Linked DNA regions of Caenorhabditis elegans. The protein of the gene in region 2 purifies or fractionates together with the protein of the main gene of each other region. This does not show direct contact. Each region holds a gene or a part of one and is shown on either strand. Other genes may lie near its edges.

Evidence for each region.
Region 1: the proteins of C03B1.2 (region 2) and math-45 fractionate together in Caenorhabditis elegans (co-fractionation; one large-scale study listed by BioGRID). This does not show direct contact.

The regions. Positions count from the first base shown.
Region 1 is NC_003280.10:1,506,264-1,524,099, forward strand, and holds math-45 (MATH domain-containing protein), read right to left. Parts: upstream 11,192-17,836; 5' UTR 11,117-11,191; coding exon 11,007-11,116; intron 10,610-11,006; coding exon 10,335-10,609; intron 10,229-10,334; coding exon 10,102-10,228; intron 9,105-10,101; coding exon 8,827-9,104; intron 8,486-8,826; coding exon 8,365-8,485; intron 4,909-8,364; coding exon 4,628-4,908; intron 4,577-4,627; coding exon 4,453-4,576; intron 4,335-4,452; coding exon 4,058-4,334; 3' UTR 4,024-4,057; downstream 1-4,023. Other genes in the region: fdgt-1 (Facilitated glucose transporter protein 1), read left to right, coding at 287-521, 806-962, 2,089-2,397, 2,476-2,667, 3,287-3,424; Y51H7BR.8 (ABC transporter permease), read left to right, coding at 12,975-13,137, 13,895-14,016; Y51H7BR.7 (Protein stum homolog), read right to left, coding at 16,181-16,324, 17,423-17,614.
Region 2 is NC_003284.9:6,362,330-6,378,024, reverse strand, and holds C03B1.2 (uncharacterized protein), read right to left. Parts: upstream 8,009-15,695; 5' UTR 7,992-8,008; coding exon 7,835-7,991; intron 7,750-7,834; coding exon 7,638-7,749; intron 6,650-7,637; exon of another isoform or gene 6,561-6,649; intron 5,840-6,560; coding exon 5,652-5,839; intron 5,553-5,651; coding exon 5,497-5,552; intron 5,036-5,496; coding exon 4,868-5,035; 3' UTR 4,642-4,867; downstream 1-4,641. Other genes in the region: LAMP family protein lmp-1, read left to right, coding at 371-398, 452-669, 724-933, 1,009-1,266; C03B1.1 (uncharacterized protein), read right to left, coding at 2,433-2,966, 3,026-3,274; C03B1.17 (CHCH domain-containing protein), read right to left, coding at 3,258-3,418, 4,206-4,377; C03B1.3 (uncharacterized protein), read right to left, coding at 11,194-11,303, 11,773-12,010; C03B1.4 (uncharacterized protein), read right to left, coding at 12,308-12,499, 12,551-12,606, 12,698-12,882, 12,956-13,052, 13,298-13,529.

The DNA.
Region 1 (17,836 bases), on a different chromosome or scaffold from region 2:
TTAGCTCGGTACCACCAAAACTGGCGAAACTCCGTATCATAATGGTTAACTGGGTCGCTACTCAGCCAAATTTCCAAATATTGTAAAAATTGGGCTAAAAGCCTGAAAATTTAGACCTAGGAGTAAAAAAAATACGCAGAAATCAATGTAATTAGTAAAAATCTTGGAAAATCAATAGTTTTTCGAGAAATTAAGCTAGAAAGTCGATTTCGCAATAGACTAAAAACACGAGTTTTTGAGATAAAAAACCACGCCAAATTCAAATTTCCAATTCTAAAATTTCCAGGATTCTCCTCAGCCCTTGTACCAATGTTCCTCACCGAAATCTCCCCTAACAACCTCCGTGGAATGCTCGGATCCCTTCACCAATTGCTCGTCACCATCGCAATTTTGGTTTCTCAGATCTTCGGGCTCCCACATCTCCTCGGAACCGGAGACCGCTGGCCACTGATCTTTGCCTTCACCGTCGTGCCTGCCGTTCTTCAGTTGGCTTTGCTCATGTTGTGCCCAGAGTCTCCAAAGTGGGTGAAATACTAAAAATTTTAGATTGCAAAACCAAAAAGTTCAAATTTCCCGCCCACCTTGCGTTGTAAACGCGCTCCAATGAGAAAAACACGTGGTTCAGCGTTGGAGCGCACTTTCACAATGCGGTCCGCGGGAAATTCAAATTTTTTGTTTGAAAACTAGTTTTTCTTAGGTTTTTCTTCCAGTTTAACATATTTTCCAAGCTAAAAACAATTGAAAAATGTAATTTTCAGTTTTTTTTCCCAGATTTTCAACTTTTTACAAATAAATTACTCTCCAGGTACACAATGGCTGTCCGCGGACAGAGAAACGAAGCTGAAAGCGCGCTGAAAAAGCTCCGTGACACCGAAGACGTGTCAACTGAAATTGAGGCAATGCAAGAAGAAGCCACCGCCGCCGGAGTCCAGGAGAAGCCAAAAATGGGAGATATGTTCAAGGTGACAAAAACTGTCGAAAACTGGGAAAATTGGAATTTTTAAAATTTTTAACTATTTTTACTGAATTTCCTGTCACTTTTTATCCCTTTTCCCAAGTTTTCAAGCCTCTAGCTCATTTTTTGGTTAATTGACAGAGTAGCGGCTCAGTTAACCACTGTGATACGGAGTTTTGTGAGTTTTTGTGGAAATTGACTGAAATTTTTTGACTATGGGTAGTTTTTAGTGTAAAATCTGATAATTAATAAACAATCATGAAATTCGAAAAAATTTTTGAAAAAAAATTTCGATTCGATTTTTTTTTGAAAACTATTAAAGTTCACAAAAATGCCATCTTGATTTTAAAATAAGCACTTTGATCTACCCATATTCGCGGTTTTTCTGCATTTTAGCTCAATTTTGGTGAATTGACTGAGTAGCGACTCAGTGAACCACTGTGATACGGAGTTTTGTCAGTTTTAGTGGGAATGCGCTGAAAATTTTTGACTAAGAGCAGTTTTTGATGCTAAATTTGATTATTAATAAAAAATCACGAAATTAGAAAAAACTTTTTTTTTGAAAATTTGGAAAAAAATTTCGAAAAAAATTCCAGAAAAGACCGAAGTCGATTTTTAGAAAAACCATTAAACTTTACTCAAATTTTGTCTATATTTCCAAAAAATCTCTTTGATCTACCCATATTCGCGAATTTTCTGCCTTTTAGCTCAATTTTGGTGAATTTGCTGAGTAGCGACTCAGTTAACCATTGTGATACGGAGTTTTGTCAGTTTTGGTGGTATCGAGCTAAAAATTGATGTGACGCGTGGAAAATGTTTGGGGAATTCAAAAATGTGATATTTGTACTGCTTTTTAAAGAAGTGGAATTTTTTGTTTAAAAAAAAATTTAATTCTGAAATTTTCTTGAAACAAAATCTCACTACAGTTTAGCCAATTTTGGCGAAATTTTTTGACTGTTGGTGATTTTTGATGGCAAGTTTGAAAAAAAAAACAAAGAATCTAAAAATTCCAAAAAAATCAAAAATTTTTTGAAATTTTTTTTTTCAAAAAATTTTTAATTTTTTTTTTCAAAATAGGGTAACTTTACCCGTAGATTTCAATTTTTACACGTATAACCCTCTAAAAATTCCAGGGAGCCCTGCTCTGGCCAATGTCCATCGCCATTATGATGATGCTCGCCCAACAGCTGTCCGGAATCAACGTCGCAATGTTCTACTCGACTGTAATTTTCCGTGGAGCCGGTTTGACTGGAAATGAGCCATTCTACGCGACAATTGGTATGGGGGCTGTGAATGTGATTATGACTCTGATCTCGGTCTGGCTTGTGGACCACCCGAAATTCGGCCGCCGCTCACTTTTGCTGGCCGGTTTGACTGGAATGTTCGTGTCTACACTGCTTCTCGTTGGTGCGCTGACTATTCAGAACAGTGGAGGAGACAAGGTTTGTACAGAAATACCAAAAACAAAACATTTCGAAAAAAAAATTTTTGAAAAAAAAAATTCTAAAAATTTTTTCCAGTGGGCCAGCTACTCAGCCATCGGATTTGTGCTCCTTTTCGTCATCTCCTTTGCCACCGGACCCGGAGCCATTCCATGGTTCTTCGTCTCCGAAATCTTCGACTCGTCGGCTCGTGGAAACGCGAACTCCATCGCTGTTATGGTCAACTGGGCCGCCAATTTGCTCGTCGGACTCACTTTCTTGCCAATCAATGTGAGTTTTCGGAGTTTTTTGTGTGAAAATTTGGACTATTCAGAAAATTTGAGCCTAGATTATATTTTTCCCGGAAAAATTCGACGAAAATGCAATTTTCATTCTGAAAAATGATGAAAACTCGTAAAATTAAAAATGTTAACTTGTTTATCATTAGAGCGCACTTGCAATATGCGCTAGATTTTTAGAAAATTTTCTATCACAAAAAACTGACAAAAACTACCAATTTTGAGCTTTCTGGCAGATTTTCTAATTGGAGCGCACTTGCATAGTGCAGTCGGCGGGGAATTCAAATTTTTTAGATAAAAATTGAAATTTTGGTTGTTTCAAAGTGAAGTAATGCGGTTTCCTGCGAAAAAAAACACCAAATTAGCATCAGAGCCGCACAAAAAACAAATTTATTGTCATTTTCTCATTGGAGCGCATTTGCATAGTGCGGTCGGCGGGAAATTTGAATTTTTGGGTCAAAAACTGCTATTTTCCTTCAATTTCGGTAAAGTCAAGTCTTTTTAGCTCTAAAAACTATTCAAAACCTCAATTTGCATTTTGCTCAATAGAGCGCTCTTGCATATCACTTGAAATTCACATTTTCCGTTTAAAAACCGAAATTTTCTTCCAGAATCTCATGCAACAATACTCATTCTTTATTTTCTCCGGATTCCTCGCCTTCTTCATCTTCTACACGTGGAAATTCGTGCCAGAAACCAAAGGAAAATCGATTGAACAAATTCAAGCCGAATTCGAGAAGAGGAAGTAATGCAAAAATTAATATTTATTTTGAATATTCCGTCCCAGCCCCCCAAGTATTTTGTATTTTATCGATTTTTTCCCCAAAGAAAATGTATTTTCCACACCACTGCGAAACGTATAGGTTTTGAGATAATAAAATTTGTATTCTTTGTATGGTTTTTTTTTGAATTTCACACTATAATTTTGTTTAGGCCACTAGCTCAATTTTGGGATATTGGCCGAGTAGCGACTCAGTTAACCATTGTGATACGGAGCTTGCTAAGTATGGTGGAAATTGGCTGAAGATTCAAAAACAATATCTTTCCGTAGCAGGTGTTGTCAGATTACGGTTTGATCTACAAAAAATGCGGGAAATTTTTACACAGAAAAATGCGACGCTAGCACACGCTCTTAACCATGCGAATTAAGTTGAGAATTCTCCGTACAAACTCCCGCCATTCCGGTAGATCTACGTAGATCAAACCGAAATGGGACACTCTGACACCACATGAATCATTAAAACTGTTTCATTGAAGCAAATTGTATTTGTATTGTATTGTATTGTATTGTATTTATTACGATTTAAATCGTGATCAAGATTTAAAATTACTAAAATACACGATAAAATGCAAAATTTTAAAACTTTATTTCAATCAATCGCCTAATTATCATTAATTTTCATAATTTTTATGAAAGCCTCAATAATGAACCTGCCATCAATCAGCTCCACGTCCTTCAAGTCTACGAAAGGCACGAAACGGTATACATAATGCACGTCGAATACATTCTCTGCATACTTTGTGAAGATTTTCCCATTCAGTGACTTCAGACTCAATTCGAAGTTTGTTTCTATTGTGCGTTTTCCAGAAGTAAGTTTGTTATCTTCACAAATTAGTGCTAAAATAAGAAATCCGTCCTTCTCGTTGACTGCTATTTTCCTATAAAAAGCAACTTCTAAAAAATTTTTTACGAAGTTTTCAGAAATTTCTCAATTTTCCCAACAAAAAACTTGTCATTTTGGCGGGAAATTTGCTCTAAAACTTATTCTCGACTAACCACGGGATCCCAAATCTTTCAATAGTCGGGCTGTTATACGTGAAGCCCGTTTTGATGCGTGACACATTCTTGACAAGGTAGGAAAATGTAAACTCGAGACCTGGAGTGTTTGGACGAGGAGAATCTAAATAAATTCCAAGCAGTGATTTCAAATTTCAAGCTCTACATATATTACCTGTAACGCCCAAAACCTTGACATGCGCCTCCAAAGTCACACTATCATTGACCACGTATCCGTTCTCTAAGTCTTTCCAAGTCAGAAAACGGTCAAACCAGGCGAATCCTGTTTTCTCAAACATAAATTTGCCCGTTTTGACCAACGAGTTCCCGCTAGAAGCTAACAACTTTATTTCGAAATCCGTCGATATTGTCCATTTGTGAGTTTTGTAAACTTGTTCCGCACAGTACAGGCCAGCTCCAAAAAATCCGTTGGCATCACGCCGGATGGATAGTCTCCTAAACATATATGTACGTCCTTAACTCTTTTTTTTATTAGGCTTGGCGTCAGTGGGGGAGCGTTAGCCACTGACGCTATTTAGGGTTAGGATTACAGCGTTTTTTTCATTTTTCAAAGGGTTCCCGTTGGCCGATCAAAGCGAAATTTAACACAGAGACGTAAAGGCCACTAAGAAGCTTCCGTGTAAAATTTCAAATTGATTCCATCAAAACTCGCCGAGTTATGGAGCTTAAGGTGTTTTCAAAATGACCCTCAACTATTTTTTAAAATTTGAAAGTTTGGCGTTTTGTCAGTTTTCTCCCTAAGCTCACGAAAATTTAATGACAGCAGGACCGTAGCAGGATAAGGTTTCTTGTGAATTTTGAGCCAATTTCGATTTACAGGAGCCGAGATATTAAGCTTCAAAATCCGACAAAAGTTCGAGTCCGGGTGCGGGCGTCTAAATTTTTTTATGCCCTGTTTTTTGTTCATTTTGAAAACGCGCGTGTAACTTGACGGTGGGTGGATGGATTTTGATGCGGTTTTTTGCTGTCTCTTCAAGAAGCTTGCCCCATCTCTGTATGCTTTTTTTCAGAAAGATTGGAGCTCTTTGAGCCGAGATATAAAGAGTATTTTCGAGTATCCTCCAAAAATCACGTTTTTTTTCTCATTTTTCGCCTCTTTTTTTTGCAGGAAAATTCGAGTTTTTGCGATTTTTACGAGATTTTTTAGCAGTTTATAGTACTCGACGAGATGCGTCGAAAAACATACAAATCATCCAGATCCATCAGCTATGAGCTCTTTTAGAGAGCTCCAAAGTCAAATTCGCAATTTTGACCTCCCCCCTCCCACTTCGGTGTGTTTTTTTCGTGTTTTTTCGCAAACCACCGCTTCGTGCGCTGTTGTCTTTGAGAAATCTTTGGTTCCAAGGTGAAATTGTTGTATAAAAAGATCGTAGGTACATTTTAAAGTAAAAATTATTCCGAAAAAGTGATTTTTTCATTTTGAAAATCAAGGCAGAAAAAAAAATTTTGATTTTTTTTCCAAAAACTTTTTTTTTCCCTTCTCGTTGGATGGCGGTCGTTTGAGATATTTTGATTTTGAGGAAAAAAAATGAAATTACAAATATTTTTAAAGCGATAGAGGAAAAAAATTTCGAAAATTGAGTGAAAACTCACTGAGATAACCGACCTTGAAGCAAGTTACTGCCGTTTTTGCGTTGTTCATTTTTCAACTTTGAGCGTTTATTATTCACTCAATCTGAGATCAATTTTAATTTTGTTTTTTAATATAGATTTAAAATTTGTCGCTAAATCCGAAAAACTGAGTTTCAAAAAAATTTTAGTGAAAATTTTTTTCAGCACCGCCAAAAAATCGAGTTTTTCAGCACTGATTTTTTCGAATTTTTGCGATTTTTCACTCATTTTTTGATGAATCTTTGTTTTCTATTTCGTGTTCAATGAACAATATTTATAAAAAATGAAATCTATTAACAATTTGTGAAAATTTGTTTTTGAAAAAATTTTGTGCCAGTTTGAAATTTTTCAAAAAATTAATTTTTTGCCTCTTGCACAGAAAAAGTGGTTTGGTCTGGTGTTTCAACAATAACATTTTTGAAATCCTCACACCTTTTTTCATATTCCCTCAAATTTTTGTAACCCAATTCTCACTTTGAAGGGAGATACAGGCGGGAGATACAGTTCGTTGAAGGGCTGGCTGCCAACACATCGCCACCCCACCCACAGAGAGACACACATTTACAACCTAATATATTCAAATATTACCTCCTGCTCTCAGTTTTCAAGATTTTATGATGATTTTTACTTCATCAGAAAGAACACATTCTCTTTCTTAGTCTTCTGTGGGTGTTGCAAGTGGAAGACAAAAAAAAACAATATGGATTTAAAATCAGGGCTTCGCCCCGATTTTAATAAAATATATGAAACCCTCTTAAAAAGTTACAAGAAGGTTTTTCCTTGCGCTTGGAGCGCAAAAGAAAAGAAAAAGAGCTATTTAGACTTAGGGTGCCCAACTGGAATAAAACATTGGAAATCCCAATCCAACCAGCCTAAGGGCCCGAAAAACATACTAGGATGCCCAACTTGAATAAAATATTGGAAATCCTTATGACACACCGGCGGTATGGCGCGGCTTAAGCCTAAATAGCCACTTTTATCAAAATACATTTGAGCGAGGCGGTTGTAAACTATTCGTTCTTTAGCAAAAATTAAAAAAAAAACTTTATTTAAATTTAAAAATAAATATCATATGTTATCACACCTTAGAATATCACTCCTTAATTTAGTAATCTTTTTCAGTTCATAAGTGTGAGAGAAAGAAAAATGGATTAGTCATCGGAATTAAATATCATCAGAGTGATTATATTCATCAAAGGTCTCACTTTATTGGAGGGTTAATTTGATCAATATAAAATGTTTATCTCATGTGAAGAAAGGTTCAAATTCTGTACCTATGAATGCTGCCGATATTTGAATTCCTGTCTCATGGGAAGAAGGCCTTTCTTGTGGGAAGAACGGAGTTATAAAAAAATATACGCAGGTACAGAATTTGAACTTTTCTTCCCATGAGATAGGAATTTGAATATTGGTATTCTATAACTTTACTTTAAAAAAAAATCTCCAAAGGTTGATCGCAAATATGTAGAGATTGCTCGCATCCCTTCAAATATTACGAAATTTCTAAGTTTCTTAATGATAATCTTTATTCAGATTACTGAGAAATAATTTTATATTGATCAAATTAACCCTCCAATAAAGTGAGACATTTGATGAATATAATTACTCTGATGATATTTAATTCCGATTCCGATGATCTATTCTTCTTTCTCTCACATTTATGAACCAAAAATAAGTTCTAAATTAAGGCGTGATATTCTAAGGTGTATGATATTTTTTAAATATTTTTGTTAATAAACGATTAGTTTACAACCGCCTCGCTCAAATGTATTTTCATAGATTACTGAAAAATATCCACAGATTACTTTTGAGTTGCCTGAGAAGTTATTGTAAAACGCAAAGCGAGCTCAAATGTATTTTGATAAAAGTGGCTATTTAGGCTTAAGCCGCGCCATACCGCCGGTGTGTCATAAGGATTTCCAATATTTTATTCAAGTTGGGCATCCTAGTATGTTTTTCGGGCCCTTAGGCTGGTTGGATTGGGATTTCCAATGTTTTATTCCAGTTGGGCACCCTAAGTCTAAATAGCTCTTTTTCTTTTCTTTTGCGCTCCAAGCGCAAGGAAAAACCTTCTTGTAACTTTTTAAGAGGGTTAGGCTTATGCTTAGGCTTAAGCTTAGGCTTAAGCTCAGGTTTAAACTCAGGTTTAGGCATAATCTTAGGATTAGGCTTAGGCTTACACTTAGGTCTAGGCTTAGGCTGAAACTTAGGCCGAAGAAAAAATATTGAAGAAACATTTTTTTTCGTCAAATTTCGTTTTTTTTTGGCACTAAAACTTACCATGGAATGTTGAAACGTTCTTCTGTTCTGCCAAACGGCTTGCTATTCAGAGTAGATATATTTTTAAAAGTGTGAGCTATGACAAATTGTTTCACAGGTGTCACCACTTCACAGGGAATATCTGAGAAAAAATATTGCTTTGGTTTTTTAGGGCTCCCATGCGGCGTCGCTCAAACTCCACGATTCAAATCTTTAAAGCGATGCGCCGAACCCGAAAAGTGTCGGGCGGGAGCCAAGTTTGCACCAAATAGTGACATACCCAGTCACACTATTTGGTGCAAACTTGGCTCCCGCCCGACACTTTTTGGGTTCCGCGCATCGCTTTAAAGATTTGAATCGCGGCGTGAGGGCGGCGTGGTGCGACGTTTGAGCGACGCCGCATGGGAGCCTTAGTTTTTGTAAAACTCAACTTATTTGCGATTTTTTTTAGTAATTAAGAAAGGTCCAGAGGAAAAAACCCACCAGTATATTTGACAATCCTGACATGAATTTCAACGCAAACACTATCATTAACTGCGTGGTTTTCTTTCAGCACTTCCCACTTAATATAGTCCTCAGGCCCACAACTGTCAGGCTTTTCAAACTTGTGCTTCACTTCTCGACTGAAGTTATTCCCTTTTCCAGACACCAACTTTGTCTCAAACACCGTATCAATTGACCATTCACTGGCGTTTGATACTTCTTTCAGACAGCTTAAGTATACTTTGAGATATCCTTTCTCTTTTTGGGAAGAAATCGCCCTGTAATACAGTGGTGGCCAAAAGTATATGCGTTTTTGTTTTTTTTTGCTAATTCTTCATGATTTTCAAATGAGTATAACTCACAAACTAAGCACTTTGGAGAGAAAAGTTTAACTGATAAACTGTTGCTTAGAATCTTGTCTTTTTGCTAACACATGATTCAACATTTCAAAAAATTCAGGTCAAGAGATACAGCGGGAGACACCTCGCGAGTCCATTTTTGGCTATTTCTCTTGAAACGCCTGTAGCTCGAGAATGAGAAATTTTCATGAGAAAAGTTGTATTAATAAAATAATCCGCAAATATTTTTCTACCACATGCATATAGTCGTTTATTTATCAAACAACCTGTAGCATAGAACTGTAAGGTTAAACTCGCGGAGTACCAGCACCCGTCGGGAACAATTTTTAAAAATGGTGGTTAAATTTTTCTAACACTTGCTTTTCAGTTAGAATGTAAATAAAATTCAACTATACAACTAGTTATTTAAAATATATGCACAAAAATATATTTTTGAAAAACATGACCTGGTTTTTAAACAGTTGGTCAAATCGGTGCTTTGAGAAGCGCGAGATTAAACTTACCGTTCTATTCTACAGGTTGTTTGATAAAAAAACGACTATATGCATGTGATAGAAAAATATTTGCAGATTGTTTTATTACTAAAACATTTTTTTTCATGAAAACTTTTCATTCTCGAGCTACAGGCGTTTCAAGAGAAATAGCCAAAAATGGACTCGCGAGGTGTCTCCTGCTGTATCTCTTGACCTGAATTTTTTGAAATGTTGGGTTATATGTTATCATGTAGACATGATTCTAAGCAACATTTGAACAGATAAACTTTTCTCTCCAAAGTGCTTAGTTTGTGAGTTATACTCATTTAAAAATTATGAAGAATTAGCAAAAAACCAAAAACGCATATACTTTTGGCCACCACTGTAATTCACACGTATCATTTTGCCATGAGGAATGCAGAAAAGGTAAGAAAAACTGTTACCATGGAATTTGGAATCGCTCTTCTGTCGATCCCTTGTATAGTTTTCCTTCCTCCATGCTGGAAACATTCCTGATAGTGTGAGTTAACACAAATTTCTTTTCAGGCAACAAAGGAGGGTTGGAAATCCCTGCAAGTTGCGTTTTTCAAAAAAAAAAACCAAATAATTAATAAATATCCGTTAAAATTCAAATGAAAATGAAGATTTTCACAATACGTATTGTTTCCCGACTAACCTTTTATTCTTAATATCTTCACACAAATTGACACAGAAATTTTATCGTCAGCGATGTAATTCTTCTCTAAACTTTTCCACTTCATCATGATACAGCCTTTGTTGTATGGTTTGTCGAAAATCCCTTTACAATTTCTGCTAACACCCATTCCTCCTGGTTTCATTATTTGGATTGTAGACTTGTACTCGATTGACCAATTACTGGGATATCCAAGCTCTTTTTCACAACACAAGTATACGTAGAAATTTCCATCCAATTTCTTGATGGATATTGCCCTGAAATTAATTTTCACTGTAAAAATTCCGGTGGAAAATTCAAACATTGTTTTATTATTTTGAAATTTTTAAATTGAACACGTGGTGTTAGTGTGCCTCATTTTGGCTTGATCTACGTAGATCTACCAAAAATGCGGGAGAAGAGACGCAGAGTTCTCAACTGATTTCGCATGGTTAAGAACGTGCTGACGTCATATTGTTTTAAGTGAAAAAAATTCCCGCATTTTTTGGAGATCAAACTGTAATGGGACAGCCTGGCACCCTGGCGACTGGCGACTTGACCATTGACCAATAATAAAAAGTTGTTCATGATTGAAGTACTTAGAAGTATGCCGGGAAACTTAAATTTTTTACAAAAAAATGTTCAATTATATATTTAAAAAAATAACACACTCACCACGGGATATCAAAGTGTTCTCTAGGCAAACATGTAATTAACTCGTCTTCCTTGATAGTAGAAAGTTTTTCAAAAGTTTCAGTCAACACAAATTTCTTTTTTTCCTGCATTTTCAGCAGAATGATGACTGAAAATGTGTTATCGAAATTAACAATTTATTGATTTCGAACCCGAAAAGAGGTTATGAGAATTATATTTTATTGGTTCTTATCAAAGAGCAACGTGTTTGACTAATTGAGATGTTTGGTAATTGAAGAGTGCTCATGATAAGGTATCAAATAGGCGGCCGGTAGGCACGTAGGCACGTGAATTATATTAAACTAAGCCAAATTTCTTACATATATCTAGCATATCGAATAAAGTATGAAGCTTTGAAAAATAAAATACGGAGACCATTATTTTTATTCGGAAGATTCTAAAACAATTTGTTAAAAAAAAACATATCCCTACTTTTATTTAAAAATTTTTAGCCTTCTTTTTTCAAAACTGACAAAACTCCGTATCACAATGATCAACTGGGTCGCTACTCAGCCAATTTACCCAAAATTGAGCTAGGCGGCTGAAAATTGCGGTCAAGTGGTAGATTTTGGCGTAGATTTTTAAAATGCTACTAAAATGTAATACAAATTTTTTTTGCTTGAAAACCCACGAGTTTTCTGAAAAAAAAAATTCAAAAAAAATTACGCTTTTTTTTTCAAAGTTTTTTTTCTGAATAAAAAAAACTGTTTTTTAATAGTATAAATATATTATTTTTGAAGTCCTTATAAACTTTCCAGTCGTCAAACCAATTTTTAGCTCGGTACCTCTAAAACTGACAAAACTCCGTATCCCTGTGGTTAACTGGGCCGCTACTCAGCCAAATTACCCAAAATTGAGCTAGGCGGCTGAAAATTGCGGTCAAGGGGTAGATCGTGGTGTAGATTTTTAAAATATTACTGAAAAAATATGAACTCGGTTTTCCCTGAAAATCTATGAGGTTTCTGGAAAAAAATTCAAAAAAATTTCTATGAAAATTTTTCTCTCAATTTTTTTTCAAAAATTTATTTTAAAAAATTACTTTTTAAAGACTATATTTAGTGAACATTTTCAACATTTTTTACCCCCTCACCCCGTTTCCTTCCCCATTCAGCAGCACATTTCCGCCCCATATTTCATATTTCACGCTCCACTGAAACATTGACTAATCGGAAATGACTTTGTCTTTTCTCTACCCGCAGTTTTCTCATTTTTCGGGTATTTTCGAGCAGCTTATTGACTAGCTCGTGGTGTTTTCGGCTTAAGGAAGAGAAAAAATAACAATCACAGAAAATTTTTATTCAATTTTCTTTTTTTTTTCTTTGGGCTCTTTCGGCGGGTGAACGCCAGTTTTTGGGTCACTTTTTTCTATAGATTTGGATTATTATATAGTTAGTTTCCAAATTTAATTCTTATTTTGATACTTGTGAAAGTCGTTGTCCTGAAAATATAAATTTACAAAAAAGTGGGTATTTTATAAATTTTTTTTCTGAAAAAATAATGATTTTTTCCAATTTTTTGAATTATTTTCAAATTTAAATTTCTTATAACTAATGTAAAATTTGATATTGCATATATTGCCAGTGAACAATTTTTCTCTAGCTCCGCACACGTTTTAGGTAATTGCCAAATTAAAGTGTACCTAAAATTTTGAGTTCCTTCTAAAACTCATGGGAAAATATAATTTATAATTTTTTTTTCTAATTATAATTTAAATTTTCTAATATAAAATTTTATGCTGAACATTTTGTTAGCTGACAAATTTCCTCTATCTCCGCCCATGTTCGAGTTATAAGTGAAAATCTCAGAAATTAAAAAAACGTTTTTTTTTTCAAAATTTCAAATTTTTTTTTCCAATTTTTAAACACTGTTCCATGATTTTTTTTTCAACTATTATTTTTTAAATGCCCATTTTATAACTAAATACCCGTTTCAGATATTTCCAAATAAAAAATGCACACAGCCCAAATCCGAAGTGTCTCCCGGCGGCTTCTGCGTATTTTGTGTGGGCGGCGGCTCCCGCAGACCTGGAATACTGTACTCGTGCTATTATCTATTCATATGTACTTGACAGTACCTGTTATATTGGCTGCTGGAATAAATAATGATAGAACAGGTTGGTTTTAGGGGGACAATTGGACAAAAGGCAAAAAAAAATATTTTTATAAATTTATTTCTAACTTTAAACTTGTATAACTTTCCTCTCATTCAAGTTATTCAAAAATTTTGAACTGACAAAGTTATTAAATATTTTTTGATATAAAAAAATTTTCAAATGTAAAATAACAAGATTCATAGAAAAGTTATAAACGTTTAAACTAAAAATGCCAAAATAAATTTTTTTGAAAAATGTTTTAATTTTCAACTTGTATAACTTTTTTCCTGTGTAAGTTATTTTAAAGTTGTCAACTAACAAAAAAATTATGAAACAATGTTTTATAATTTGACAATTTAAACATTATTTTAGCTTATTACTGAAAAGTTATAAATGTTTGAACAAAACAATCAAATTTTTAAAATCAATAACCTTTAACTGGTGTAACTTTTTTCGGTGTAGTGTAATCAAAAAGTTATCAACTAACAATATATTTCAAAACATGTGTAGATCATTTTGTTAGTTGACAACTTTTTGATATCTTCAAAGATGACAGAGATATTCGCTTAGTAGTAGCAACATAGTGGGAAGCCTCCCCCACCCTCTGCGCCTGCCCCACTCTCCTCTACGCCCATGAAGCTGCTTCACAGCCCGTGCAGTCATGTCCGAGTGGTTAAGGAGATTGACTAGAAATCAATTGGGCTCTGCCCGCGTAGGTTCGAATCCTGCTGACTGCGTAAAAATTTTTCGAAAAAATAAAAAAAAATCGAATTTCCAGGTCTGCTCCGCCCGTTCCGAGAAATTCAGCAGAGAGGCATATTGCTTGGAGAAATCGATGATGATTTATTGGACTTATTTTATGAAAGATGTCATGCCGAGAGAATGACCTACAATCCATAATTTGCTTCAAAAATTTTTTTAATTGGGAAATAAAAATTCTGAAATTTTTTTTGATTAAAAAAATTTAAAAAAATTGAAAAAAAAATCTAAGAATTATTTTCAATTCACTTTTTCGTAAAAACCGGATGATTCCAATAAAAATAGCATTACACGATATTTACACGGCAATCGATAAAAAGTGGGCGGAGCAAAATGACGTATCCGGTTAAGCTCGACGGGTTTAAGCTGCAGGCCTGAAAAATTCATATTTTCAATTTCAAAATTTTTTACGAAAAAAATCATACCGCTAAAATTTGTGTCATTATTAATGGTACAATAATGATAATAGTGGTTACTGTAAGAGTTCTTTCCGCAGATTTCCTTTGAGTTGTGTTGAGAGCCTGGCTTCTGGAAAAAGTGCTAATTTTTAATATTTAAAAACCGAAAAACTTACAATTTTCGAAGACGATGCACCTTGAAAATTACTATTCCACACAGAAGGACAATTAAAATTATAATTAAAGTTGAGAAAATGAGCCCACCAATTATTTGAGCTCCCTGGAAAATTTTTTTAAAATAAAAAAAAAGTTGCGTTGGGCTTTTTTTGAAATTAAAAAAAATCCAATTAAAAAATGATTTTTCACTATTTTCTATATTGCCACTCGCTAAAAAACTTTTATCCACCACTGGGGGTCGAACCTGTGACTTTTTTACCCAAAACTATTCCTCTTACCAGTTCAGCCATCGCTACATTGTTTAAAAATTCAAATCTGTCGGAAACTGGTCAATATGGGGTCCAAATTGACGAGAATTTTATGAAAAATTCGAAAAATAATGTGAAAACCCTTTGAGATTGCTGTAAAATTCGAAAATTTCTCTAAAAACCCACATTTCCAATGACAAACTCAGTTGTCAAAATAATCGCGCCATACTGAAAAGGAACGTCCAATTGCATGGCGATTGCACCATGAGTGATATGTGGATAAGCTGCTCCCATACTAAAGATCACAACAAGTATAGTCCAACCAAAAAATACATTTCGACATCTCTAAAAAAATTTCAAAATTTCAAAAAAAAATTTCGAAAAAAAAAATTTCAAAAAAAAAAAAAAAAATGTTTTTTCATAAAAAAAGAACCTACTTTCAAGTTAATTTTGCTATTAATTAAAATTACAACTCTTCCAAAACAAAACGCCACTGTAAATAACTGACAACAATAGTCCAAGCAGTAGTACAAAGCAATATAGTACCTAACAATACTGTCGCTTTTCATATTCAAAAAATAAATTGTAGCTATGGAAGTTGAGGGAATCCGAACCAGTGCAAAATCCAGTACAGTATACGCCAAATTGCATGTCTGCATTAACAAAAACGACTTATAGACATACGGATGAATTCCCTTGCGAATTTTCAAAAATCCCGCGGAAAAATTGAAAATCCACATTCTTACAGTACAATAAATTGATGGAATGGTACATAAAAATGTGAAAAAGTAGAGAAACGTCACATAATCTCGATGATATTTAAAATTTGCGTATTCCGGCTGAAAATTCACATATTCATAGGGTACAGGAGTCGGAGCCATTTCTGAGCAACTTGGCTCTGAATATTCCCATGATATATAGTAGGAGTTGTGATGGGAAAATCTTGTCGAACTTGGTGGTTTTTGAGTTTTGTTCTGGAAAAAATTAGGGAAATTTTTTGGCTTGAAAATTTGATATTTGAGAAAAAAAATTTTGAAACAAATTTTTTCAAATTTCTTTTGGGAAAATAATATTCTTATTAACAAACTAATTGACAAAACACAATAACAAAAAGATAAAAAAAAATTGTAACCGCTCTGGGGTTCGAACCCGAGACCTTTTCCCAAAGCCATCCCTCTTACCAGTTGAGCCATCGGCACCAATAAAAAATTAAAAAAATTTTCGGAATTTTTTAGAAAATTTTCTCTTGAAAATACTGACAAACTTCATATTTTCGACATTTTATTATCATAATAACAAGTAAAATTCAACTGAAAACAAAAAAAAAACATTTTCAAACATTTTTAAAAAAGTTAAAAAAAAAAGAAAGAAAATACACATAATGTTCAAAAAATACATCACTAATACGTTATTGTCATGGTAGAAATTACAGTTTTTGCCAACTAACACATTTTAACTCAAAATCTTTAATTTGATAATTTTTCACCAATTGCTGCACGGGCACCAGCTCAGGAAGTCCGCCCGGTGGTGTAAGTCGGAAATGAACCAATTTCTGGCGATTTGTATAAACATGATACCCCAAATGACACTCCAGAGAAATCCGACGAGAATAGGGAAAAGGAGAAACTGAAAAAAAAATTTCTTAAAAATTTGAAAAAAAATTGAAAAAAAAATTTTTGGATTTTTTTTTTCAAAAATTTTCAAAAACAATACCTCTCGACGCAGAATTTCACGATGATCATTTTTTGCACTTAAATCTTGATTTCACCTTTGCTCCCCACAGAGTTACAGACGTTCAAAGTTTCAGGTGAGAGACGCAGACGACTAGACAGCCTGCGCCCCTGCGTCTCTCCCCCTCGCGCGCTGTCTCCCTGCTCTCCTTTTCAAACCATTGTATCTCGGCAGTGAGGATAGCTATCAAAAATTTGTTAACTAACAAAATGTAGGAAATTTTACGATAAATAATTTGTTAGTTGACAGTTTTTTGATAGCTTAATTAATTTTCGAGTTATGACAATTTTTCTGGCGCCTTCTTCTTTTGGATTGCTCTTAACTTTAAACTACTCTATCTCTGTAGTGAAGGGGGCTACAAAAGAGTTGCCAATTAACAAAATGCTTGTAATTTTATGCTCAGTAATATTTTTAGTAAGTGGTAATTTTTAGATAGCTCTCTCGTCACAGTTTCTCCCTGAGAAAAAGTCTTCCAAAACAGAATTAGTAACCCATTTTGCAACTTTTTCTAAATCCTTCCAAAAGCTCTTGGGACACATTCTTTTTTGGAGTGCACTACGTCAAGGAACTCTACTTCCTCTTGTTCAAACATCTATTTTTATGGGAAAAAAAGCAAAGAGTTCATGAAACTACACCCTAGGGGGAAATTAAGTTACATTTGACTATTTTTTAAAGAAAAAGTGTCCTTCCCGAGTTACATATCAAAGATGTTCTGGATTTTTTGCCAAATTTTTTGAGAATCATCAAAAAAATTGCACATATTTCCCATTAGCTCAGCCTTTAGAAAATTTTTGGTAAATTGGCTGAGTAGCGACCCAGTTAACAACTATGATACGGAGATTTGTTAGCTTTAGTGGAAATTTGTCTAAATTAAAACTCAAAAATACAATTAGATTTAATAATTTTCCAGAAAATTGGAAAAAAAAAAATTCGATCATTTTTTGGCAATGTCTAAAAAAATTCAATTTTTTACCAAATGCCTGAAAGTTGTACCTGCAACATAGCCGCCAACAAATTAACCATAAAACATCTGAAAGTGGAGCTCCTCCCGGAATCCGAGCAGCAGAGCACCGACAGAGCCGCCCAAAACGTTCCGAGCCCCGGGATTAGCATATTCAAGAAGCAGCAGAGCACCGCAAGGCTCAGTGGCATAATTGGGATTTCTGCTCGGAAAAATCCGTGGTGCTGAAAGGAAAACCAAATTTTTGGTCAAAATGTTGAGAAAATTTTTTTGAAATTAACAAAAAAAAAAAAAAACTCATTTTTTTTCAAAAGTTGTACCATTCGACGCAGAATTTTACGCTGATAATTTTCTCTTTTTAAACTTTTATAGAAGCTTTGCTCTCAACAGAGATACAAGCGTTCAAAGTCAATGGTGAGAGGTGAGAGACGCAGACGACGAGACAC
Region 2 (15,695 bases):
CAATTTTGGGTCTTTCCCATCATCATACCATGTCTCCAATTAGAAACCGCACAAGATCGATTGTTTTGCAAGAGATGAGGTGACTCATCCACCCCATAAACATTCTCTGCATTTATTCTCAGCAGTTTATGTTTTGTTTTGTTATGACTCTGATTTTTGTTATGATCAATCTATGACCATTGAATTGTAGAAGCATAAACACTCCATATTCCTCATTGTTCCCACCTTTTTAATCACATTCAACTCGCGTAGCAATTTACTGTTTGCTTGTGCCTACACAAACACAAATCTATTGCTTGTCCGCTCTGCTCTCGTAGCACAACAAAGTTTTCATTTTCAGATCGTCGGACTCATTCTACACAATTGAACTATGTTGAAATCGTTTGTCATCTTGTTTGGTAAGTGAAATACTTCCTACGCAGAAATACAATAGCAATCAATCAATTTTCAGCCTTCCTGGCCTCCGCATCCGCCACCGCTTCGCATTACTATGTAACCAACAACAACACCGGACTCACGTGCATCATCCTCGACGGAGACTTCCAGTTCAATTTGGTCTTCAACGAGAAGAACACCACCGAGAAGTTCACGGTCACATTCAACGAGACAGTCAGTGTCGAAGGAGATTGCAACGGAGTCCGCAACAATCAATCGGTTCAGACGTTGAATGTGAGTTTTTGAATAACAACTTTAGGGCAATTTATAACTTGAAAAAATTTCCAGATTAAGTTCAACCCTGAAGGACAATCTGCCCGTTACGCCAAAGAGTGGGAGCTCGATATCGTGTTCGGATCATCTAGCAACGTCGCCTTTGAGATCATTGACTACACCCTCACCACTCAGAGAACGGATCTTGTCCCATACTTTGGAAAGTTTGTCAGAGACGCCAATGCTGCCGGAGATGTTACAGCAACTCAGACCAACGCTTACAAGGTAATACCATTTCTGCTATAGCATTTGGGGTCTTGTTACCACTCACTATTTCTTGCCTAACTCAAAAATTTTCAGTGCTCCACCGCCAAGCTTGGACTCGTCGGAGGATCTACCATTGACATCAAGACATCCAACGTGATTGCATTTGCACAGATGAACGGCACCGTTTTCCCAACTGACCAAGTCTACGAGGTGTGCTATTTGGATGCTCGCACCAACGAAGTTGTCCCAATCGTCGTCGGAGCCTGCCTCGCGGCTCTCGTCGTGGTTGTGCTCGTCGGATACCTTATCGGACGTGCTCGTGCAAAGAGACAAGGATATGCCAGCGTCTAAATCTTTGCTATTGTTGTGAAACTGTTCTTATCATCATTCAATCAAAATATTATCAATAGCCTTGTTCATGCTCAGAATCTGATGATTCTTTGTTTCCATTTCCTCTGTTGCAATGTTGTGCAATCATCCAACATTTCCTCTTTTACTTATCTCAGTTCTATTTCATTTTTCTGATATTCTCTTCCATTTTTCAAACGAGTAGTACCTCACGTGGTAGTAGAACACTGTTTCTAAGCCCGTACGATGACTTTACGTTTAATATCCTTCATCCCTTGTTTCAAATAAAGTCCCTCTCCAACCAAAATTGCGAAATTTCAGTCTTTACTTCTAAAATCAATATGTGCATTGTTATGCAAATATGAGGATACATGAATAATAAGATTTTTAAAAGGGTCTTTAGGGATTTCTGAAGTTTCAAGGAGTTCCAGCATGGGAACGGATGGATTATTTGAAGGCAAAGATCGGAGCTAGCTAAAAGTATAACAGAATAAAGTGAATTCTAATTAATGAGTTACTTACCGTGACGAAATAAAATATAAACATTACAAAATTTACCGTGACTTGTTTTTCACAGCTTTTGCATTAAAACGGTGATTTTCTAAACTCGAAAATGTAGTCCAATCTCGTCAAATGCTAAACTTGCCGAAATTGCAATTGCCAATTAGCAAATGCTGCGCCCCATGATTGAAGCACATATTTTCGAAATCTTAAAACCCTCTCTGGGATACCTATTTTAAAACATGGAAATTAACTGAAAAACTGTAGTTCTTTAATCAATAATCTTTAATCAATTTAATCATAACATGTTTTTTTCTAAGCACAGACGTGCCGGAATGTTGCCAAAACGGTATTAACAGTGAACATTGAAATGATTCATTTTTCATGTTTTTTTAAAAAAAATTTTTATTAAAATGAAAAATGACCACTGCTGAAATTTAAAAATTAATATTAATGACGAAACAGAATGACCGTGGCAGGTAAGTAAAAATACATGTTAAAATTGAACAAATCAAAACCAGAATAACTGTATAGAGACAAAACACACATGAAAAAGGTAGGATAAGTGATAATATATAATTAGATTAATTTATAGAGAAGTAATTTTGAGTGAAATTGGGGGACAATATAAATGAGTTTTTAAACCACAAGTGTGTAATTGAGTTTTTTCAACGACCGAAATTTAGATAGACATCACGACCTCGGGCTCCAACACAGCATGACTCGTCGTACAAGACTCTGAACCAACGCTCCACATCTTCATGCACCCATCCATTACGCTTGGCAAGAATCAACGCCAGCTGATAGTTACGTGGCAGATGAATTGGTGACACCATTCTCCAAAACCGAACGCCTCTCTGGAACTCCACCATGTTTGTAAGCTCAGCCTTCGCTTGACAGTAATTTCTCATGAGCTCGATTTGTTGCTCCATCAATGTGCTCGCGTCACTGCCAAGATTGTCAAACAACTGGTCAAAAACTGTATATTGATCTTCATCGTATTTTTCCTTGCCATCGACTTGCTCCAAGTAACGATGCGAGTAAAAATCTCGATACCAGATTTCGATTTTTTCGCAGGTCCACAGATTCATGCAAACCATTTGGATGGGAATCTTGCTATCGTTGGAAAGATTCAATGGATCCGCATTTCGGAAGAAGTTTGCTCCATCACGGAAGTATCCAGATCCACTTTTATTGTACACCTGCAAAAAATTAATAATTTATGAGCTCTCGCTTAATAACTGAAATCTGGAATACTCACAGACAAACAGTACTGATGCATTTTTATCATTCCTCCAATCAAATTGAAGTTTTGGTCCACATAATTAATCATTCTCCAGTATTCACAAACTTCTTTGTCATCCGAATGAGTTCCGGCAGGATCGAATAGCATCGATGATTGACGTTTTTCTTCTGATATGTCGCTGATCTTCATTTCCATCCGCTTCATCTTCAATTTATATGATGCAACGACTTGTTTGTATTGCTCAATTTCACGCGTCCAGTTCATTTTGGTGTTGGGTTTTGCACATTACAAGCTCAGCTTCGTACTGGTCCTTGCAAATGTCTAATTTTTTCTGGTTTTCCAAATCGCAGGCTTCGTGGTCTCTTCTCTCTTCATCAGTTCTCAAACGAAGTTGTTCAGGAGCGATAGCTGCAAGTTATTTGAGTTGAATTATTGTGAGTTACTTTTTTTCAGATTGGACTGGTAGCGCCTGTCTTTTTTCGGCCAATGTTCGTTCAATACGGACTCTTTACGGCACCACTTCTACTACATTGGGAACAATTATCATTTGGGCTCAAAGTAGGAGTAATGGAATGGGGTATTTCAAACGTATATATATAGATGCAAAATGTGCTGAAACGAACAAAAAATTGAAAATTATTATTCATTTGTTCAAAATATATTTTGGTTGTTCATCTCACGTATAATAGTTGATTTGAATACACTGATAAGTAACCGAAAATCACTGAAATTGATACAAAAAAAGATAATCAAATAAAACTTAATTTCAAAAACTTGCGAAACGGAATAGTTGGTAAAATATGAAATTTTAGAAAAAATTATCTTAATTTTTCAGTTATTTTAAACCGGCATAATATATTTTTGAAGAATTTTTGGGATGCCTCAGAATTCAGTTTATTTGAGCCTATTTTGCGTCTCTACGTTCAAAATTGTCCGAACCATTACTACTCCTTTAAAAAGTCGTGTTTTGAGCGCATTAGCTTCAAGAACTTATACTTAAGTCTACAATAATGTTAGTAACGGCAATGAAAAAGAATCCCACTCCACAAAAACATAAGTTTCATATATTCTTGGATGCGTGATACTTACTACTCAATGCAACTCTCACATGAATTTAAAAAAAATCTACATGGAAGCATACTTACTGGTTTTATTTCAACTATTACATATTTTACTACTACCAATAATTACTTACATCTCCTGACAGTTTTGACAATTTTTCGATGAAGAGACGAGAAAAGATCGTTTCCTTTCTCCTTTTCAGTATTAAAGCATTCATTTGGAGCAAGGCTGCGACGTCTGGATGACTTCACGGTTCTCATACTTTTACGAGGAAGGCTGTTGCTAGCATTCGCGGCCGGAAGCATTCTAGAATACGAATTGAAATAACAATGGTTAGAATTTTGAGCTCAGAAAAGTCACAATGGAGCGAGAGCAACTGTTGCAAATGATACGGTACAAAGCTGCTCTAGACATAATAGGCGGAGTTTGTCTATAGTATATCTGTTACCTTAGAGAGGTCACGTGGGCGTGGCTCAACACTGTTGAACTCTGTTTATTGCGTTATACTTGATTCTTTTACTGTGAGCGGAACCTGGCTATATACTTTAAAGTGGATACGAATGCAGAAATCATTAAAATACATCTTTATAAATATGAAGTATACGATTTCCAGGACACTAAAAATATGAAATACCATGAACAAATCCCCAATTACACTATTAATGTGAACGGAATAAAAATGAAATCAAAATGAAAAGAGCAAAAAATACTGGTTTTCAAATACAATAAACAAAATGTCATCTAAGCAACAAAAAATAATAATGGCTAAAAATAATATGAAAAGCCAGAAAACAATTATTCATAATGACGACGGAGAATTCCTTCTACATAGCACATTGGAAATTCACATTCCTCGCTGAGCATCAAGTACGTTTTATGAAGTGGAGAGAGTCGATCAAAGTCGAGAAATTTGATAAAAACTGCTTTTGCTAGATATATTGGGTTGGAAGTTTGCTTGTATACCTGAAATGTTTTCTGCGGTACCGATTCAATTCAACAAACTGAATATGTTCAAGTTAAACTCCAAATCTATGAAAAATCGGATACCATTTTACTAGATTTCAGAAGAGGTTTGCTAAATTTGGAAAATAAGAATCAAATTTTTTTTACATATTAAAAATATTAGAATTTAATTGTTTTCAAGTAACCATTTTATGTATTTCACAGCGAAGAGATTCGTCTGAGTGCTTTGGAATTCTCGAAACTTCGTGGTTTTTCAGTTTAATACATTTTGACAAGAATAAGTGAAAACGGGGAAAAAATTAATGTTCCGATCTTGACCCAAAACTCTTTTGATTATTCTGCATATATTTGTTTTTTTAGTGTTTATTTTTTATTTTTACTCAACAAAAATTTTTCTAAGAAGATTTAAAGTTATTGAGCTTTGTTAAAAGTTAGGTTTCTATTAAAATGGTTTTTCTAACCTCTTGATAAACTTCGATTCTTCCATTTACAGCTTGTTGCATCAGGTCTAGACAATCTGAAATTTGAATTGTTATGAGGTCATATATAACTGGATATTTTTCTAGAATTAAAAATAGTAATTTTTGTAAAAATATTTCAGAAATTCTAAAAGTACCTTGCTCCGTATAGTAATCATCATCCCAATTGTCAAAAAATGACTGAAAATCTTCTATCTGTCGCAATTCCTTCTCCGAGTATTCCGGAGCTGTAGAAGCGGTAAATAAATGATCCATCGTGTTTGTCTTCTTTTCCGGCTGGAAAATTGCATCTGACAATGCAATACGACTGTCTCGGCGGAGTTGGCTGAAATTTGTTCATCTTAATTATTTCATTTATCCCATGTTAAAAAAAAAATTAAATTCCCGTTGTTCAAGTTGAACTAATTATAAAGATTTCCGTAAAGGTAAAAAACTCTTCAATTGTTTTCATTAGTATAATCCATTTGCTCTAATTGACACATATCCTATCCTTAATCGCAAGTTGTTGCACATCATCCATACGTGTGAGGTCAGCAAAATTCCTATCCGTTACATGTTTCGTAAAATACACACAAATACAGGAGACTTAGACATTATTGCGCAACAATTGTCTGGATATAGGTGTTCAGTTTGCGGGTGCATCCTATGCGTTAGATTGCTAGCGGATCAAATTACTAATTGACTTTTTGAGCAGAGTAGACACTGTCTAGCATGAGTTGTATCAATATCAAGAGATCAACTTCTAAAGATAAGGGATTCTCAAATTTTATTTCTCAATTGTACCAATTTTTCAGAATACGTTTTTTTGTGGGCTTGGGTATATTGTTTTTTAATGTTATACTTGCAGTCGTGAAATTTGATTTTCAAATTTGTAGAAAAATCAAGAAAATAATTGCAACATTCGCTTGTGTCAAAAACCAATTTCAACAAATTTTCGTGTGAGAAATACATTACCAGAAGGCATTTTTTCACACGATTAGCATTTTGGACTACTTTATTAAATTTTTGCGTGTAATTTTGAATTAAATTGTATTATATTACTACTTAAAAAACAAAAAATTTGACCACTGAGCGGATCGAACGCCCAACCTTTCGATCTGGAGTCGAACGCGCTACCATTGCGCCAAGCAGTCATGTTATTCTCTCTTGTCGACAGCAGTGATATGGACGACCGCTACGAGTGAACCGAGTAACAGCATAGCGAGAGACCCAGGCAAAAAAATTTGTCAACGTTTCTTCTTTTTTTTCCTGCTAGACTTATGTTAGCTAATGCGAGGCAAACGAGCGATGATGTATTTTTTAAAAATAAAAGTGATGTGTAGAAAAGCATAATTCAAGGCGGTGATTTACCTGTGAAAAATATTCTACTCTGAAAAAAAGTTATGTTCTAGACTATTCTTGTGGTGCTAACATAATCAAATTCCATCATAAATTTTTTCAAAAAAAAAATTGAATGTTTTTTGTTGTTAAAACAGTGATAGCTCAGTTTTCAATTTTTTGTTGGAAGTCAACGATCAATAAAAAAAAAGTTGCCTTCCAGTTGTATGTTCGAATTATGTTTGAAATATTCATATTCCAACATTTCATGGGGCTGAGAGAATACTTTAAACGAAAAGTAGCGCAAACACAGTTTTCACCACTATTTGACTTGAAATTTTAAAAATCCAAAATTTGTTTAAAATGTTTATTATGATATTTGGTCATTTTCGCATCATGGATAAAATTTTTATAATTTCTCCACTGACCGTACCCTCCTTTAATGTGACCAATTTAAAGTTCTTCAAACCAAACATTGCACTAAAAAATGAATAAAAGAAACCAATGAGAACCCTCGCGCCAGTAAAAAAAGTTGCAATCCATTGAGACGGAAAGTTGCAGAGGTCTGGAGAGTAAGTATGTGCTTTGTGCTTGAAAGTACACTATTATTAGATACGTTTCATCTAATGTTGATGTACTATGCTTCAGCACCAGGCACTTGTGATACATAAACATTAGTTGAACAAAATTCACGATCTCTAGCATGGAAAATGCTGCGTGAATGTTGTAATTAATTATATATCACTGTGGAATATTTTTGGAATATTGACTTCCGTCTTCCATAGATGAATAAAAGTTAAACTCACAAACATCGTTTCATATTGTACATTCGTTCCGGGATTTTTGCTCTTTTCACTCGACTGGGTGTGAATTTGACAGAATATCCACGTGATGTCTGGCAGCTGCTCGCCGGAGCTTCTGGAAAAAAGTAGATTACTACCGGAAATAGCAGTTTTTCATAAAGCGTCTAAAAAGAACTCTAAAAAAGAAAGAAAAGTCTTACCGATTACCCAACGGAAAGTTCTCTCTTGTTTTGGCGGGTTTGGAACTTTGAAAACAGCTTTTCCGGATTTTATATATGTATGTTTTTCTTCCCAGATGCGTGCTTGTACATTCTGGAGCTTCAATTTTTTCTCGTATTTTTGAAATAATTGCTCCATATTTGGTTCTGAAATAATTTATTTTTAAAATAAGAAAAAAAGCAAAAAAGTGGACAGCTGCAGACAAAAAAGGTGAGCACAGGACACATAATAATAGTTGATGACGAAGTAAAAAATATATATAAAAAAAGAGAGAAACTGTGTACTCTGTGTTCACTAGCTGCTCTTTTTTGCCAAAAGAGGAAATGTTTATTAGGGCGGCAAAAAGAACGACGACGCCTCTAAAGGTTTGAAATGGGTAAGCCATGCGGAGAGCAAATCACGGTGTATAGGGTGGAGCCACGGCTTCTCTTTCTCGTTATGTTCTTTGAGTGGGCGATACGTCGCAAACGAGAGAACATGGAAATTGATGTTCTTGGATGAGCTTTCTAATTGAAATTATATGTAAAAAATCGAAATGCAATGAAAAATGTAAAAATTTGTGAAAATATGTTTAAGCTTAGATTTGCTCATTTTTAATTGAAGGAAGACTTAAAACTATCACGACAAATTCCAAAACAGTAAAAATGATGACGGAACTCTGTTTTTGTCCATTAAAAACAACAATTCTTCTACATTGAAAAAAAAGGTGCAAAGAAAAGCAAATCAAAAATCTTTCAAGACAAAAAATTCCAGTACAGAGTTTACTTGGGCTGATTTCTGAATTAAACAAATGTATGTCATTGGAAGATAAAATTTTCAGATTGGTCCCTATAATTAATTTATCCACAGAAGAGTACATTGAACTAGAAAAAATTGGTCTGAAAAATTTGCAAGACATTTCATTCAATATAAAATGAGTGGTTAAAAATGTGACCGAATATTAGAAAAACGCCCTCGAAAATATTAAGATTTTTCAAAATTTTCAGTCGAAGTTTTGGTAAATTGTGAAGTTTGGCAATTCTTAAGAAATTTAGAGCATTGTTGCATTTTTAAACCCATAGAATATTCGAAAACCAACTATTTTAACTCATTTTGACTGTAGTTTTAAAGAATTAAAAAATTTGTTTCAAAATTTTGCTGTAACGTTTGGGCACCTTTAACGTAGCTTTTATAATGTTTTATATAGGATTAATTGAACACCAATTAAACCATAAGCTTTTGCACTCAAAATTTTAAAAAAATACATAAAATGTATTTTGAAGCATTTTCAGAATTACATAAGGAAATCAGGAATCCAGTTCAGACGTTTCAAAAATTCGTTTTTTTACAACTTAAAATAGAACATTCTAGAAACCACACAACAAGCCTCTTGAACTCTTGAATCTGTCATAAACATTTATGAATTCAGAGTAAAAAAGAAACAAGTTTCAAAAATTGGCGGCGTGATCTTTGAACATTTCCCTAAATAAAGCAACATTGGCAGAAATTCAGATGCGTCTAAAGTGGTGTACTATGATCAATATTAAGTCGTCTATATTCGATTAAAACACTACACATCTGAATGATCTTTAATCTATTTGAAAGAAACTTAATGAAATGCACAGCAAAACGCTAAAAATGTATGTAGAGTGTAGTGTAAAAAATGAGAGGAGCACAGCTGAAAATAAAGAGTGTGTTTCCTACTTTACTCTTCATTTTCACCTCCGACTTTTCCTGGTTCACTCAAATATTCACAACTTCAAAACGGAAACTTGAAAACTCATCTTTTTAAATTAAATAGAATGTAGCCAAACAATGGAACTGTTGCAAAGTAGAAAATGAAACAAATAGACCCAAAAATGCTCAAAATAATTTTATTACTTTTTTATTGGGAACAAAAAGATTGATTCGATCCACACTTTTCTCTACACAAGCGTAATCGTTAGTCGTGAGAGCACCTGCAATGTGGTCAAGCTGGAAATTGCATGCTGAAACTAAAATCTGAATGAGGGTGTCAAATCAACAATTCTGGCATTTGACAACTTACGTTGGAAATACAGAAATAAATTTATAGTAAATCAGAAATATATCAGGAAGTTTAAAGAAAGGCATCACAAATTAGGACGACAGATATTTATGATGAAACGTAATCCTCAAAAAAAAGTTATGGCAATTCAAAGTTTTCACAAAAAGTTCCGTTTTCCGCTAACACCTCAAAATTTGTCAGTTTTATACTGTCAAATTTCGCTGAAATAAATTTTTATACATTTTCATTCAAAAGATTTCATTTCCAAATTCGTTACTTTTCTCAGCCTAAAAGAGCAATGAACCATATTTCGCTATTTTAACGATAATCCCCAAATTTTTAATGCTCTTTGATTTCAAAAGTGCACAAACTATCTTGAAACCGCTAATGAACAACAAATAACAAAAAACAAAAAGTAGTTTTAAATTAATAAAAATTGATTACCAGCCGTTGTTACAGAAACAAGTTTACAAAATTTCAGATATTTGACCCTGTAGTATTTTGAAATTTTTCCTGCCAAAAGCATTTTTGATAAGTTTTTCAGATTTCTCATTCTGGAATGGTCATGTGGGTCCCATTATGTTTATAATAAGAATGCAAACCGGTCATATTTGAAACTTAATTATTTTTTACCCTTTTGTTATTAAACCTACTACAGTAAAAAGTTCGGTGCTTGTGTATTATGCCCCGCCATTTTAGAAATAAATCAAATTTCCATCAATTTATCCGTTTCAATTAAACGTGATACCCGCTAAGCTTAAAAATGATGTTTTCCTAAGCCTAAAAATTCAAAAAAAATGTACACTTTTTTATTTTATAAGTTAAAAAATTAATTCTTAAAATGGCGGGGGCATATTACACAAGTACCAAAATTTCCAAAATTTCCAAAATTTCTAACGGGGCAACATATCTGAGTTTGTATTAAAAATTAAATTGTGAAGATGTTTGCTCTTGTTTTCTCACCTGCCTAGAGTTCAAATATTCGAAACGTGTTCGTTTATATTTTCATTTCAAAGCATATATCTGTGACAATCTATTCAAGGAAGCATTTTTCTGGAGAACTCTGTTGTAATTGCATACCCGATGTTCAAAATCTTAAACACAAAGCCAGAAACTGACGGAGCATTTATTTTGATTAGTAAAAATAATTATCAGAACACGTTCCAAGAAAATTTTGATCGCTAAAATCTATACCGGAAAGTTGCATAATGTTATTTGCTTAAAAATAAAATTAAAATGGGAAACACTTAACAAAAATCAAAGTTAATACGGACAGTAGAGATGATAGTTAGGAGATCTACAATTGAAAATTTTGAAACAGTATTGGTTAGCCGCTCATTTTCTGACGGCAAGGTTCTCGTTGTTTTTCTTCTTTTGTTGAACATTGTTTCCACTCGGTTTGTAATGTATGATGTAAACTTGAAGATTAGGTGATACACCGCAGACTGAAAAATGTTGAATTACGCTCAACGTAACATTATAAACTGAAAACTGTTGCCTATTAGTTTTGTATTCCTAATCATTTTTCAGGAAAAAACACTGAGTGAAGCACTGATTAGGAAAATAAAAGATTTATAAGTAACAATCTTCTACGTCTATTTTCGTAATACTTTCTATAAACAATAAGGCAATTGTGAATGTTCTAAAATGTGTTTTATTCATAAATACCGTCAATATAATGTTAATATTTTCTCATCTAAACAAAACACAATTTCAAACAGTAAAATAGTAATTAAAATCGTCTATGTACTTATTGATTTAGTTGTTCGAGGAGCTACCTGACAACTTGTTTTGATATTGCTTTTTAGAATTGCCGGTAGTGGAGAGATAACGGTGTAGTTCTGGACGACAGCTTACAAACACATATTCTTTTAATATATTGGCAGTGTCAACTGTTCTGTCTCAAAAACCTACAGCATGCCCAGTGATAATGTACTTCCCCAGAAGCACATGATTCTTTTCCATTCTCATCTTGCGGGTAAGTTATTGCTCTAATGGCGACGCGTGTCATATTGAAATAACATTCCAGAACTCTGAATTCACCCATATGAGCACTGATTCTCTGAGCATCGATGGTCGCGTTTGGATACTTTCGCTGAATTCGTCCCAATATATGAGACAGCGTCAGGTTTAGAGGAATGATAGGTGGCATTTCTGGAAACTGGTAATCATTATCATAATAAATGTTAAGAATTCCATGTAAAATAATTCTGAGATATGTCAAAACATAGTTACAAAATAATAAAAAATGGAACAGGCTTTGTTAAATGTGTTAAACATGATTTATTACAGTCGATTAGCACCAATTAAAAAAAACAACTCGTAAAATGCATTCAAACTGATATCATGTACGGATATGAATGTTAGAAGTAGTATAGAAAAAAGTGCAAGGCAAATTGAATTCAGATGGTAATATACAACAACGTGATATTTCAGGATACAAATAAAATCAACACGCAAGACTATCAATTTTGAGGGAATATGAAGCGCGAAGCTCCTTCTCCAAGAAATATCCGTCAATCCAATCTCGATTGGCTGCGGAGATAAGAAGCTGATGATCCAGATCCAAGTGCTCGAATTTCAGCTTGCGGTAAAAGTCGGCACGGGCCAAGTAGTATGTGTTCTTGCTCTCTTGGTACTCCTACAATATATAGAATACATTTAAACTATTAACACATGCTTATTCTCAAACCTGGAGCAACTCCTCAAAGCGGTCCTTTATGTACATTTCGCAATCGAGCTTTGTTTCTGGAACAATTTTTTTTGTTTTCAAAATTTTGCCAATTTTTTTTTGTTTCCAAAATTTTGTCAATTATTATTTGTCATTTTTTGTATTTACCCGACATCAAATGAGGCATATCCTCGATGGAATCTTTCATGCTGGTCAAAATCTGGTAGTGAACAACGGCATCCTCTGGTTGGAGGTCTGGGTCAGGATGTGGCACAAAGTAGTTTTTTGGTACGACAAATCCTGGCTCAACGGTGCCTTTGATATCAATATACTGGCTGTAGGTAATGTCTTTCCTGAAACAAACTTGACAAAATTATTCTTATAAATTATTCTTATATTAGGCGGTAACTGTTCTTTAACACTTACTTTCGATGGGAACTTTTATTTTTCAACGTTTGAATAGCGATTGGCTTCGGGCTATAATTCACCCAGGACACAATTTTTTTCTCGTCGTCTCCGGTCCCTGGAACAAAAAATTCTAATTTTGAAGAAAACAATGCATTCTTGGTTGTAGATATTACGGCATCTTTTTGGCAACCGGAAATCAGTTTCCCAATGTTTTGCTGATTGTCGAACGTATAGTTTTGTTTAACTTTTATTTTGGAGTGTTTTTGAGCAAACGTTTTTTCAATTACAAAACGGACCATATTCAAAAAATCTAAACTATTCAAGGCAAATAACAAAGATTTTCCCCGTTTCAAAACTCACAGAAAGTCCAGTGGTACGTGATACTTCTTCCTTCGAACACCACTTCTGATTCATCTTCAAGTTTCGGGATGGGAAGAGTAAGAGCCCGGAGAACAACGTTGGTCAATTTGAAGCGATACTCAAAAGCTTTGAACTCTTCCATATGCACATCAATGTCTTCTTTTAAATCAGTAGCGTCTGGATACTTTTCGAGCACTGTTTTCATCAGGGTCTCACTGTCCGGGAGACTCATGATTTGAAATAAAATGCTAACTTGTAACAATGAACCTCAATCAAAACGATGATAGAACTGAGAGAAAATTTGGAAAAAATGATGAAAGCTGCTTTGATGAGTGAAAATGAAGCATAGATGTGAAGAGGCTATGGTTGTAAAGGGGCAATGGTTGTGGCGCATATACGTAATACGACCTTATGTCTGTACCGACTGTGAGCACAATTTGTAAAGAGATTTAGAGGTTTATTGATGTCTGTCTTTACTGACACGACATAAAAATTACAAATATACCCTAGCCAGGTTCTGTTTTATATTTAAAATCCGGAAGGTTGCCTATACTAATATCTTGAAAGTGAAAGACAGGGTGACCAGCGCCATCTGATTTTACGAATCAAAAATATTTTTGCGAAGCATAAGAACGACCTTGAGAGAATGTTTGAATTTGGAACGGAATTTTTTGGAGGTTTGAAAAATGGAAGTAACAAAGCGTGAGATAGAAATACGCTAAGCAGCATATCCATAGATTTTGAGCTGCAGGTATGTAGCATTTGTTAATGAGTTTTAGTAGTCGCATTGATTATTTCTGATATTCGGCTTGATGTAAACTAAATTTACCATAAACATGAAAAATTAGAAGAAGAAACCACGTTTTAAATATTCAACCATTAACCTTAAATTGAGAAAAGTGTGTAACAAATGTGTGCTTGCTGAAAGGAAGGGAGAGACAAACGCCCTCATCACACTGAGCATGTAGATTGCGAGTATCATTGAAGGGGGGCCATGATGGGCGCGATCACGAGGCGCGACACAGTCCTCGGTTATCTGCCGTTGGGAGAAAGCACACGAGAGGCTGAGAGAGAAAAGAAACAAACGGGGTTGGCAATGTGCCAATTGGGTCCGCATGAATTTCGTTGGCGGAGACTGAAGGATTACATAACAGTACAAGTTGGTTTTCGATTGCGTTGGAGAAAATAGGTATAAGTTTAAAGTTTAAAGCTTCAGTTTAACCTGGCTTAGCACACCAAAATTTATATCACATCTCTATTAAATATAATAAACATTCTAAAAACTCGTCATCGTTGTGCCAAATCAATAGAAAATAACTTTACAACTGATCACTAGATTTTAAACTACACTACTATTTGATGAGAACATCTAGAACACTAACTTGACTTAACTAAAATCTCTGAACACCGGGGAACTGCAGTCAACTCGAGAAACACCGTCTGTTATCATAAATTCTTAAATTCAATCATCCCATCAAATGTGAATCATAAAAAACGGAATGGAAAAAAGAAACAAAATTATAACGAGACTTTTTGTTGAATAGCATTCAAATCATCTATCTTAACTTCAGTAAATAATTGGGCGGAAGTTCTCAGAGTTGACTCTCTGAGTTGAAATACTCTGTATCCAATTACTATTTTTGAAAACATAAAATCTTTTTACTCCCTGTAGCGGTCGTTGATAAGTAGTTTCCAACTAGATTAATTTTCAGTTTCCAAGAAGAGTTTTCAATGCTATTTATAAATGATACCTGACAATCTCAGAAAGGATTGTTATAAATGAAAATGCTGATAGTGCCAAAAAAACCTTAATAATTAGCCTTTCATTCAAGTTCTGGTGAAAATAATTAGTTGTTGTTTTAGATCCGTTCTGTAAATATATTTGATAATTTTTGATAACTTTTTTTTTCGAACAAATTTTTTTCGAACCCCTTACAAATAATTTCAATTTTTTTTTTCGAAAAATAAAAAAAAATCATAACTTTCTATAAGATGTGATCAAATTTTGAAAAGTTTCCAAAAGAAATTGTGTATTAAACCCGCGCCATTTTAAAATTATTTACACTTCCATAAATTTATCCGTATATATTAAACGTGATACCCATTTTTCTCGTTAGGCTTAGGAATGGTGTTTTCCTAACTAGGGAATGGCCAGCTTAGGGGTGAGGTACCTAGAGACGCCACATATGCCAAACGGAAGCTGAGATCATTGGCTACAAGAATATGCTTTCAAATTCTGCAACGGACCTCTGGGAGTCTGGAAATTCTTGTCTGAAATTATGCTTTTGAATGCTCGAAAGTGGTAAGAATTTAGAATTTATTACAGAAAAACGTTTAATTAATAAAATTAGTTTTATACTTGAAACAAGTACTGTATGCACTGTATCAAAACACATTT